3 linked regions of the Cricetulus griseus genome follow. The protein of the gene in region 3 interacts with the protein of the main gene of each other region in a pairwise test. Links are inferred from orthologs where the notes say so. Each region holds a gene or a part of one and is shown on either strand. Other genes may lie near its edges. The genes, in order: Tnfaip8l1, Kat7 and Dvl3.

The links.
Region 1: the proteins of Dvl3 (region 3) and Tnfaip8l1 interact in binary tests that used the Homo sapiens proteins (3 or more experiments, as listed by UniProt). The two-hybrid records come from large-scale screens. The link is inferred for Cricetulus griseus from reciprocal best matches to the Homo sapiens genes DVL3 and TNFAIP8L1.
Region 2: the proteins of Dvl3 (region 3) and Kat7 interact in a two-hybrid assay, tested with the Homo sapiens proteins (2 studies listed by BioGRID and IntAct). The two-hybrid records come from large-scale screens. The link is inferred for Cricetulus griseus from reciprocal best matches to the Homo sapiens genes DVL3 and KAT7.

The regions. Positions count from the first base shown.
Region 1 is NC_048598.1:97,377,112-97,380,760, reverse strand, and holds part of Tnfaip8l1 (tumor necrosis factor alpha-induced protein 8-like protein 1), read left to right. Parts: intron 1-1,253; 5' UTR 1,254-1,258; coding exon 1,259-1,819; 3' UTR 1,820-3,649. UniProt on the Homo sapiens protein: Acts as a negative regulator of mTOR activity.
Region 2 is NC_048600.1:108,454,540-108,458,033, reverse strand, and holds part of Kat7 (histone acetyltransferase KAT7), read left to right. Parts: intron 1-3,033; coding exon 3,034-3,180; intron 3,181-3,494. UniProt on the Homo sapiens protein: Catalytic subunit of histone acetyltransferase HBO1 complexes, which specifically mediate acetylation of histone H3 at 'Lys-14' (H3K14ac), thereby regulating various processes, such as gene transcription, protein ubiquitination, immune regulation, stem cell pluripotent and self-renewal maintenance and embryonic development.
Region 3 is NC_048597.1:68,113,450-68,117,098, forward strand, and holds part of Dvl3 (segment polarity protein dishevelled homolog DVL-3), read right to left. Parts: intron 1,994-3,649; coding exon 1,924-1,993; intron 1,489-1,923; coding exon 1,367-1,488; intron 1,248-1,366; coding exon 1,138-1,247; intron 986-1,137; coding exon 850-985; intron 653-849; coding exon 559-652; intron 375-558; coding exon 305-374; intron 1-304. UniProt on the Homo sapiens protein: Involved in the signal transduction pathway mediated by multiple Wnt genes.

The sequences.
Region 1 (3,649 bases), on a different chromosome or scaffold from region 3:
AGCTTCACTCCTGAGCCACAGAGTCCAAATTTGGCTTTGTCCATGGGTAAGCAAGGTCCAGAGGATCAGCACTCCCTCTGGAGTCACACACCCCCAAGCCAAACAGGGACTCCAGACTTTGTTCCTCTGAGAGCCCCCCCCCTTTGTTCAGTGTTAATTGGGAACCAGCCCCCGGATGGTGTAGAGGTCTCTCTGGTCCCCTGCCTGTGAGATAATCTTCTTTCTTCTCTGTTTTTTGGAGAGGGTCATGTAGCTTAGGCTGCCCCCCAGCTCCCCATATAGCTCAGGCTGACCTTGAGCTTCTGATCCTCCTGCCTCCACCTCCAAGTGCTGGGGTGGCAGGTGTGCAATGTCTGGTGTATGGTGTCCTCAGACACTAGGGAGGAGGCAGGAGCACTCAGGTGTGGGACCATCGGAGGCTGATCGTCCTCTTCTGCTGTGTGGCCCCCAGGTACAGTGGACTTTGAGAGGATAGATTCCACCACTGTGCCTTTATTCCTACCTGTCCCCACTGGGGACAGCTGTGGTCTTTGCAGAATGGCGTTGGCCGAAGTGATGAAATGGGCTCACGTGGCAGGCATACTGTGTCAATAGCTATGTCTAGGCCCTGGCTGGTGGACAGCCGGGTGGGGGAATGAGGAGGTGTGGGGGGTGAGCACTGGGGGCAGGAAAGCTGCAGAGCGAGACATGTGTCCCTGACCGCTAAGGCCAAGAAGAGGATGGCGAGAACGGGGGTGGGGGCTGCCCGGGGTCTGGGCTCATACAAAGGCGGGCTTTGTAGATGATTCGGGGATAAGCTGGCCGGGTGGGTGGTGCATGGCTGACCAGGGTCAGGTCTCAACAGGCCTCTGTGTATTCCTTGGCTTTTCCGGGTTTGCTCACTCCTAGAGGGGTCAGAGGTCCCAGAGAACACAGCAGAAGAAGGGTCAGGCCCTGACTTCCCTCTGTGGTGGGGGAGGCAGTTGCAGCCGTGCAGCCCTGTGTGGCTCAGAGGGAGGAGGTTTGTAGAGTTTATTAGGGAAGGGGCATGAGAACTCTCAGTGGTTTTGAGCACTGTCTCTTGGGGGAAAATTCTAGAACTGCTTGATCTAAGTATTGTGGCTGCTCCATGGGGACCACTTGACTGCACTTGCATCAAAAGCCTCAACTCCCAGCCAGAAACAGCCAGCTGGCTATCGGAGAGTAGGGATGGTGCCCGACCCTGCCCAGACTTTATCATTCTACATGCATTCCTTTGACCTGTCATCCCGCAGGGCCCATGGACACCTTCAGCACGAAGAGCCTGGCCCTGCAGGCCCAGAAGAAAGTCCTCAGTAAGATGGCCTCCAAGGCCATGGTGGCCGTATTTGTGGACGACACCAGCAGCGAGATCCTGGATGAACTGTACCAAGCCACCAAGGAGTTCACCCGCAGCCGGAAGGAGGCGCAGAGGGTGGTGAAGAACCTGGTGAAGGTGGCGGTGAAGCTGTCGGTGCTGCTGCGGGCCGGTCAGCTGGATAGCGATGAGCTGGCCCAGTTGCGACGGTTCCAGGGCCGGATGCGCAGTCTGGCCATGACAGCCCTCAGCTTCCACCAGGTGGACTTCACCTTCGACCGGCGAGTGCTGGCCGCGGGGCTGCTGGAGTGCAGGGATCTGCTGCATCAGGCCACAGGCACGCACCTCACTGCCAAGTCCCATGGCCGCATCAACCACGTCTTCGGCCACTTTGCCAACGGCGACTTCCTGGCCGCGCTGTACAGCCCAGCAGAACCCTACCGGAGACACCTGCACCGCATCTGCGACGGCCTCGGGAGGATGCTGGACGAGGGCGGCATCTGACCTGGTCTGGGGACTGTCCCTGAGAACACCACCACTCGTCCCAACTTCCGCTCCTCTTACTAATTCCCAGACGCTGTCACGTAGCCCAGGCTGTCTTTGCAGCGAGGCTGACCTTGAACTAGCGATGCTGCTCCTGCAGTTGCCTCCTGAGTGCCGGGGTGATGGGTATGCTCCACCACCTCGCTGTTGGGCCTTGTCTTTTTTTCAGACAAGATCGAGGAGAACTGGGAGAAAAAGAGTTGTACTCCCTGACCTCTGGCCCCTGCCAAATGCCTATTTCCTTTCCTAACTCTCAGGGCCTCCCAAGGTGACTTGCTTCAGGAAATGGAGTTCAAGCCCTGACACCGGACTAGGACTGAAGCGGTCCCAGCCTGCCCTGTGGTGTTGGGATCCGATTCGGAGACCCCCCCATCTGGGACTGCATCTGAGAAAAGGAAGAAACTGCCTGGCGGGGAGGTGGCTCGGTGTGTGGGGCGCTCGCTGCCAAGCCTGATGATGGAGTTTGATTCCCAAAACCCGCACTGTGGAAGCACAGAACCAGTTTTGGCAAGTTGGCCTTTGACCTCCACGCGGCCCGCCCACGTGACCACGCAGCAAGGAGCCAGTGATCTGCTGGAGTCTTCACTGGGAGGGAGGAGCCTGGGGAATCTCAGAGGCTGTCCCCAGCTTTAACAGGGCAGAGATACTGGAGACACGTGTCTGTGTTAAATTATAACACTCTATTTGGGAATCAAACCCATCTTTTCTCTTTGTATTGCAGCCAGGGCTTGTAACCAACACTGACTGCGCATGCGGGAGCATGACGTCATACTTGGCTTATCCTTATGGTCACTATGAGACAGAACTTTCATCCTTGGAAAGGTGGGCAGGCTTTAGCTATCTTTGTGCACAACTGAGTTGTGCATTAGTTCTCTAGAATTTCCCAGTGAAGGACTGGGGGCGTGGTCAGAGGTAGAGCCCCGCCTAGAATTGCCTAGTGGGGGGCGTGGCCAGCTGTAGCACGCACATGTTGGGGAAGATCCCTGTGACCAGTTAAGACCCTGCATCTGCAGATGGTGGATAGCGCAGCGGTTGTGCAATGCTGCAGGTGGGAAGGTTATCCGGGGTGTCGGGGAGGACTGCGTGTATTTAGGGCAAAGTTTATAATCCGTAGCCTGTGGGGCCTGGTGGGAGCCAGAGGCTTCATTAGTGTTTCAGACAAAGGCCAGCACTTACAAAGAAGATTCCACCAACAGCTACAGACTGTTTTATGTGTTTTAAAGCAGTACCTTACCCTGTAGCCCAGGTTGGCCTGGAATTCATATTCTCCTGCCTCAGCGTCCCGAGGGCTGGCTAGAGTCCCAGCCTGAGCTCCACACTGTCCTGTTGCAGTCACTTCTGTCAGCTGCTTGAAGCCATTCTTGCCATTCCAGCTCCACAGGGGAATTTGTCTCCCTTCAGACCCTTGGCTGGATCTTGAAACCGGGACCCCAGCATACATGCTGCTGTCCCCAGATGAAACCTTCATGCTGACCAAATGGGAGACTAGTCTTCGTTTTGTGGGGCTGTGTTCATAAGGGTGAGATGAAAAGGAAAGCCAGAGAGCACGAGGGACTTTATTTTGCGTTTCACCAGGGGCTCTGCCATCAAGCCAGCCTCATTTCCCTTTTAGGGCTAGATTCTCAGGGTGACCTGGATCTCACAATCCTCTTGCCTCAGCACCCTGAATGCTTGGGAACACAGGCCTATGCTTCCAGGCCTGGGATAGAAAAATGTTTACAGCTGTTGTGGGGCTGGTTACATGGATCAGTGGGTAGAGGAGCTTGCCACCAAGCCTGATGTCCAGAGAGT
Region 2 (3,494 bases), on a different chromosome or scaffold from region 3:
CTGGTACCCTGGGGATGTTGATCACTTTTGATGTGTGCTCTTGATAGTACCAACATGTAGTAGAAGGAAGTACCTTGACAACTGTTAGTGAATGAACACAGAACCTGGAGTTGCTACTAAATTAATAGGAGATGCAGAGAATAATAAAGAAAGCTCTGCAAGATTATCCCATTTGAGACTGAAACAGCACAGATGCGTGCTTAAGGCTTAATGTCCTTTGATGCTTGGGATTTCACTTATATAAGCACTTGTGGAGGTAATCCATGTACCTGATTTAGGCTTTGGGTATTATACTCACTCTTCATTAATCATGAGTATCGGTTTGAATTTGTCTACCAACTAATATGTACCTCCCAGATTCATGGGGAAAGGGGTCTTACTACATTTGTTTGTTGGTTTAGGTCATACATGTGGAGGTCAGAGGAGAGTTTTCTTCCTCCTCCATGTGTGTCCTGGGTTTGAACTAAGATCATCAGCTTGGTGACAAGTACCCTAAACTGTTCATTTAAAATGTCTGTAAGCATTGTACTGAAATGTTGGTCTTTAGCACAGGAGCACAGGGAGACTGATAACTGCAGATGTTAGACAAGCTCTCTACAGACGTGAATCACAGTACCATGGGTTGTGAGTGCAGTTACTCTGAATCAACAGTGTGTTGTAATTTTTTTTGTTTGTTTTTGTTTTTTTCGAGACAGGGTTTCTCTGTGGCTTTGGAGGTTGTCCTGGAACTAGCTCTTGTAGATCAGGCTGGCCTCGAACTCACAGAGATCTGCCTGCCTCTGCCTCCTGAGTGCTGGGATTAAAGGCGTGTGGCACCAACACCCGGCGTAGCTTTTTTTTTTTTTTTAAGTATCACAGTGTTTATTGATAGATACAAGAATATAAAGTCAGGGCATGAACATGACTTAATAAATTAAGTAGACTTAATCTCAATACTATAAAAAGAGGGACCAATTCAAATTTTGACCATTTGTTTCACACCCACAAAAACCTCTTCAAGGGCATTGAAGATCTCTCAGAACTGATCGGTTTTGTGCAAGTAAACCATGTTTCTTTTAAAAAGACTTGTGCACTTGCCCAGGCTCAAGGACATTAAAATCTAGCACATAAAGCCCATTACTAGTGGTGAAAATACAGGAAATATACTAGTTGTAAGATGTTTTTAAACAGAAAAGGACATTTGACATAGAAAATTTGATGGCTCTGGCCAGAGGCTCTCAAGAAGCAAACTTTACTCCTGTCAGCAGTGGTTCAACATTCATTCTCAAGTCAGCATTCCCGGTACCTATTGAGCATAGCCACTGTGACAAACAAGAATCAGCTGTGTGCTACCAGCATCTGTGTCATGGAATTTTAGTCAAAGGAAGAATGGAGGTTTAGCTGGAGAGATGGCTCAGTGGCTAAGAGCATGGAGTGCTCTTAAAGAGAACCCAGGTTCAGTTTCCAGCACCCACATGGCAGCTCATAACCAGCTGTAACTCCAGTCCCAGGGGTGTCAGATGCCTTCTTCTGACCTCCACACATGGAGGTCACATATAGATGTGGGCGGACACCCACATTTTTTTTTGTTGTTATGAGTATATGTGATACACATATGACAACTAGAAGTTGATAGTGTCTTCCTCCATTTTTGATTTATTTATTGACAGAGCATCTCACTAAACTGAGAACTCACTCACTTTGACTAGTCTAGCTAGCCTGCATGTCCTGGAGATCCCATCTATGCCTCTAGAAAACTGAGCTTACTGGCAGCCACCATTCTTGACCTACTTCTGTGAGAGTTTTGGGGATCCACACTCTAGTTTTTATGATTACATGGAAAGTACTTTATCTGTTGAGCCATTTCCTTAGGCCCTATAAAAATTTTAAATTAGTATTTATTTGTTTGAAGCAAGGTTTCACTGTATAACAGCTCTGGCTGTCCTGGAACCCACTCTGTAGAAGGCTGGCCTCGAACTCAACAAGATCTGCCTGCCTCTGCCTCTCAGGTCCTGGGATTAAAGGCATGCGGCACTACCACCTGGCCATATTTATTTTTATTTTATGTACATTGATGTTTTGTCTGTGTATATGCCTTTGTGAAGGCTTCGGGTGTCCTGAAAGTGGAGTTAGATTGTTGTGAGCTGCCATGTGGGTTCTGGGAATTGAATCTGAATTGTCTGGAAGAGCAGCCAGTGCTCTTAACTGCAAAGCCATTTCTCCAGCCCCAAGTGAAAACAATTTAAACTAGACATGGTGGATGGAACATACAATGCTAACACTCCTGTCTCTAGAGGATTGCCTCACATTTATAGCCAGCCTGCTTTAACCTGAAAGAAAGAAGCAAGGGAGGGAGGATTGTTGTATTTTGTAATTTGGATCTGCAAAACAGAGATGGAAGGACTTCGGTCTCTGTTCTTAGCAAATACCCACACAATTGCTGTTAAAGCTCCTTGTGAAGCCTTCCAGGGTTGTTCCTAAGTGCCTGTTATAAGGTGCTTAGACACACAATAAGTGCACATTCCACCACCCTTGTTTATATAAAGCCAGTATGTCTTCAGCAGCCACACAGAACACACTCTGTTGAATGGCTGGCTCTGTGGTACTGCAAAGCAGATGTCCTTAAGTCTTCTGTGTTTGCACACTGTTTTTTGCTGTTAGAATGAGATTTAGTGTTGCTTAAAAAAGTCTGACTGGCTTCCCAACCAGATGGAAGCAGAGACAGTGGGGAAGATTTCACTGCAGGTTCAACACCAGCCCGGTCTGTATATAGTGCATTATAGGCCAGCTAGCACTACATATCAAAACCTTGTCTCAAAAAGCCCCCTCACCCAAGGGCTTGTGAGATAGCTCAGTGGGTAAAGTCACTTGCTGCCAAGCCTAAGGACCCGAGTTTGATTTTCGGTACCCACACAGTAGAAGGAAAGAACTGATTTCTACAAGTTGTTCTTTGATTTCTACACCAGCATGCACACAAAATAAGTAAACATAATTTTTAAGGCCTTCTCCACAAATTAAAAGAATAAAAACCAAATTTGTTTTTTTTCTTGGCAGGTTATTTACTTTCCAAAGTGGAAGAGAAAGTTGGCTCTCCAGAGCGCCCCCTGTCGGACCTTGGGCTCATAAGCTACCGAAGCTACTGGAAGGAAGTGCTGCTCCGGTACCTGCACAACTTCCAGGGCAAGGAGATTTCCATCAAAGGTAGGTTGCACTTGATGACAGTGGCCCTCATTCTGTTTAATCTGACTGTGATTAGAGGGCATTGCAGAGACCCTCGGTGCAGGGCTGAAGATCCTGGAACATTGGGTCCTGGGAATAGTCATAAAGTGTTTTTTGCCATCTGGAGTTGTTAACACTCAATTCTTCTAAAAACCAAGAGGAGGACCTGGAGACCTGGCTCAGCATTTGAGAGTACTGGCTGCTCTTCTGGAGGAATCCGGTTCAATTCATTGCACCTAGATTGTGGCCCACAACAGTATGTAACTCCAGTTCTAGGCATACATGTGGTACATAGA
Region 3 (3,649 bases):
GATGAGCAGGGCCAAGGCTCTCAGAAATCACCTCCCCCAGAAAACCTCCCAGGTCACACAGTTCTCTGTGTTTCTCTGTTATAGCCCTGACAATGAAATACCGAAATGATTATGTCAGTATTTATAAAAAAGCAACAGGAGAGCAAGAAACACATATTTTTCTTCCTGTATTGGATACAGGACCCTGGGCCTTATACTCTGCCACTGAGATCCCACCCTGGACCCCAGAAAATGTATGTTGTGCTTCCCAGAAACCCCTTCTGCCTTCCCAGCAGAGGCTCTTCAATGTGTTCAGCAGACTCACCCATGTTGAGAGTAACTGTGATGATATTGAGAGACATAGTGGAGTCTGTGATGCTGCTGAAGGACGAAGACTGGAAGAGACAGTAGCTGTGAGCAGCAGGCAGGGGTGGGCGTGCCCATCTGGTTCTTGCTCAACCCACTACCCTCACCCACTAAGATTTCAAACACTAAACCAAACAGAGGGCTCTGAGGAAGAGCTCTGGTCCTGCCCAGAAAGGACTCATTATCTGCCCTGCTCAGCTCGAGAGTCCATACCCGCTCAATCCGAGAGACCTTCTGCTTCCGCCGCCGCCGCTTGTGTCTCCTCATTAGGCGCGAGGCACTGCTCTGTTCTGTGGAGCTGCTGAACCTGTGGGGCCCAAAGTCGTTCCCCACCAGGCTGGCCCATCCTGGCCCCGAAAGAGGCACTGCACAGCCCTGGTCCCAACACAATGCCCACGTCCCGTCCCTCCCCCCCAGAGGTGAAGCATCAGCAGAATCAGGCTTCCTCATGGGTCACTTGTCCCTTTCACTCCCACCCCAGGACCTATGGAAGTCAAGCCCCACCTGCTGGTGGAGTCGTCCTCATCTGAGTCAAAGAAGCTGGTAGTCTCCAGCTCACTGCTCATAAGGGTAGATGAACTGTCATAGCCACCTGGCTCTCGCCTCCGCTCCCCCTTCGCAGTTCCATTGAGCCGGGCTGCTGCAAGGCCCAAAGTAGGGGAGAAAGGGTATGAGGCGGGCAGGCCAGGGGCTGATCAGGGGCCAGGCATATCCGTAACTAAGGAAATAGGGTAAAGAGGCAGGGAGCTGGCTGCAAGCTGCAGGAGGGGGTTGTAGGTGGAAAATACACACCGTGCTCTGGGCCATCCCTCCGACGGGGACGCTCTCGTTGGGCAGACACCAAGGAGTCAGTCTCCGTGTCATTGTCCAGGTTTTCTTGGCTGCCTCCACTAGCATGAGGGCTAAAGGGTAGAGAAGAATTGGTGGAGATGAGAACAGGCTGTGGGGGCTCCCTTCCCCAGCTCTGGGTTGAGCTGAGGTCCCCCTTCCCCAGGCCATTCCACCTTTAAGTCACACTTACTGAAAGGATGGGGGTCGAGAGTCCCCAATGCCTCCTGTGCGCTCCATTGAAGGTGGCAGCTCTGATGGGTTGTCGGCACAGAATGGGGCTGGCTCTGGGTGGGAACCCTCAGCAGATACCAGCTGCCAAGAAAATGAGTGATCACAGGGGTGCCAAGGAAAAGCAAGATGTTGCTTTCAGCAGCAGGACGTGAAAGCCTGGAGAGTGAGGCTGAGAAGACTGGCCCATGCAAGGGCAGTTGGCCAGGTGCATGAGGGAGACGGGCTGGCAGGCATGGGCAGCAGAGTCCGGGCACAGCACAGAGGATGCCCACTGGCAGTAGGTGTCTGGATGGACATAGAAGACCTCTGAATTTCTATCCTGTGCTCCTGTTTCTCCCCTCTCTTCCTCCCACTATTCTCTCACATATCATTAAAGACTGCAAACTCTAGGAAATCATTAGAAAACTAAAGGCAGATTCAGATACAGAGGCATAAAATCACTAGCTACAACCTTAACTAAGCTGTCCCTCCCTCTAGCCAGCACAGGAATACAGCTGGAGGCTGATGGCTCCTTACCCAGGACACCACCCGACCATTGAAGCAGGGCAGCTTGGCATTGTCGTCTGAGATCTCTTCCTTCACCACTCTGCAGGGAAAGGGGGATGTCAGTGAGAACTTTCTGAAGTAGAAATGCAGGATCTCCATAACCTGAGTAGTCCTAAGTGTGAGATCAAGCCATCAACACAAGACTGACTGTTCAGCTGTGAGGAGGGGCTAGGGACATATCCTTAGCACCTCCAAGAAGTAGGACAGAGAAGAAGGAGCTTCGGGGAGGAGTCACAAGTCGGGAACACACACTGCTCTCTGGGCCACCCCTCTCGCAGGGCCATATCTGGGCCAACTGACTTGCTAGAGCACCGACTTGGCCATCAGGAGACTGGAAACTATAACGGCCCCACACCACACCTCAGAACCTCCAGAGCACTTGTGCTGTTCCCAGCATCCCTCTGACCTTTGACTGGGAAAAGGCACCGCAACTCTTACTGTTCTTCACTTCTCAGCTAGGAATCCTGACTTTGTTCTGACAGCCGTGGGCAAGGAGTTTAAGGAAGTAGGAAAGAGGAGAGAAGGCCTTCATAAGCATCTATGTGGTACATATCTATAATCCCAGTCAACACTTAGGAGGCGGAGGCAGGCAGATTATGAGGTGAGCCTGGGTAACATGAGATTCTGTCACAATAAGGAAGAAAAGAGGCCGAAGATGTAGCTCAGACAGCAGAATGCTTGCGTAGCATTCACAATGCCATTCGACTGGGTATGGCTGTGCGTGCCTGTAATCCAGAACTAGAGAGGCGGAGGCAGGAGGATCAGTTTAAGGTCATCCTTAGCTTCAGAGTGAGTTTGAGGCCAGCTTGGGACACATGAGGACCCTCAACACCCACCCCCTCCAATGAAGAAACACTCCACAAACAAGTAGAAAGCTGGTGTTTGAATCCCAAACTATGTGACTCTGCATTTTTATCTATTATGTCGTCTATTACTATAGAACATATAATTTTACCTCGCTCCCAAAAAAGCTGGATGGTTGTGGCACACACCTTTAATCCCAGCGCTTGAAAGGCAGAGCAGGAAGATCTCTGAGTTCAAGGCCAGCCTGGTCTACAGAGTAAGTTCCAGGACAGCCAGGGATACACAGAGAGACCCTGCCTCAAAAAGAAGTGTGTATGCATATGTAAAAATATATAATTAGGTAGACAATATAATTTTCATTTCAAGAATTAAGAAACTGACATTCATGGCTACAATTGAACCCCAGGCTATTTCTGACTTCTATTCTCTTTTCGATCTTGTCACATTTTTTTTCCCATTTGATGATAGATGTAATGGGTCTGTGAGGGGTGGGGGAAAATAATTTGGGGCATGAGGGACCACAGAAAGTGGTCATGACATGCAGTTTGGCTTTGGGAATGTGATAGGGCCAGGAGTTAGATACCAACTGTCCTTAGTAGTTCTCCCAGCTTAGAGATATCTTTTAGCTTATCCAAACCTTTGCCTTATCCTGTTAAACAAGATCCTTAGAATATAACAAAAATTATATTCTAGTTTTAGTAAGATTATCTCTAGTTTTAGTAAGATCCACACTCTCTCATTAAATGTAAGCCCCCCTTTAAGATTTTTATTACGTGTGTGTGTGGTGTGTGTGTGTGCGCGCACACACAGGTGTATGGAGGTCAGAGGACAACTTGTGGAAGTTGGATTTTTCCTTCCACCATGTGTCCTGGGGCTAGAGCCCAGATCATCA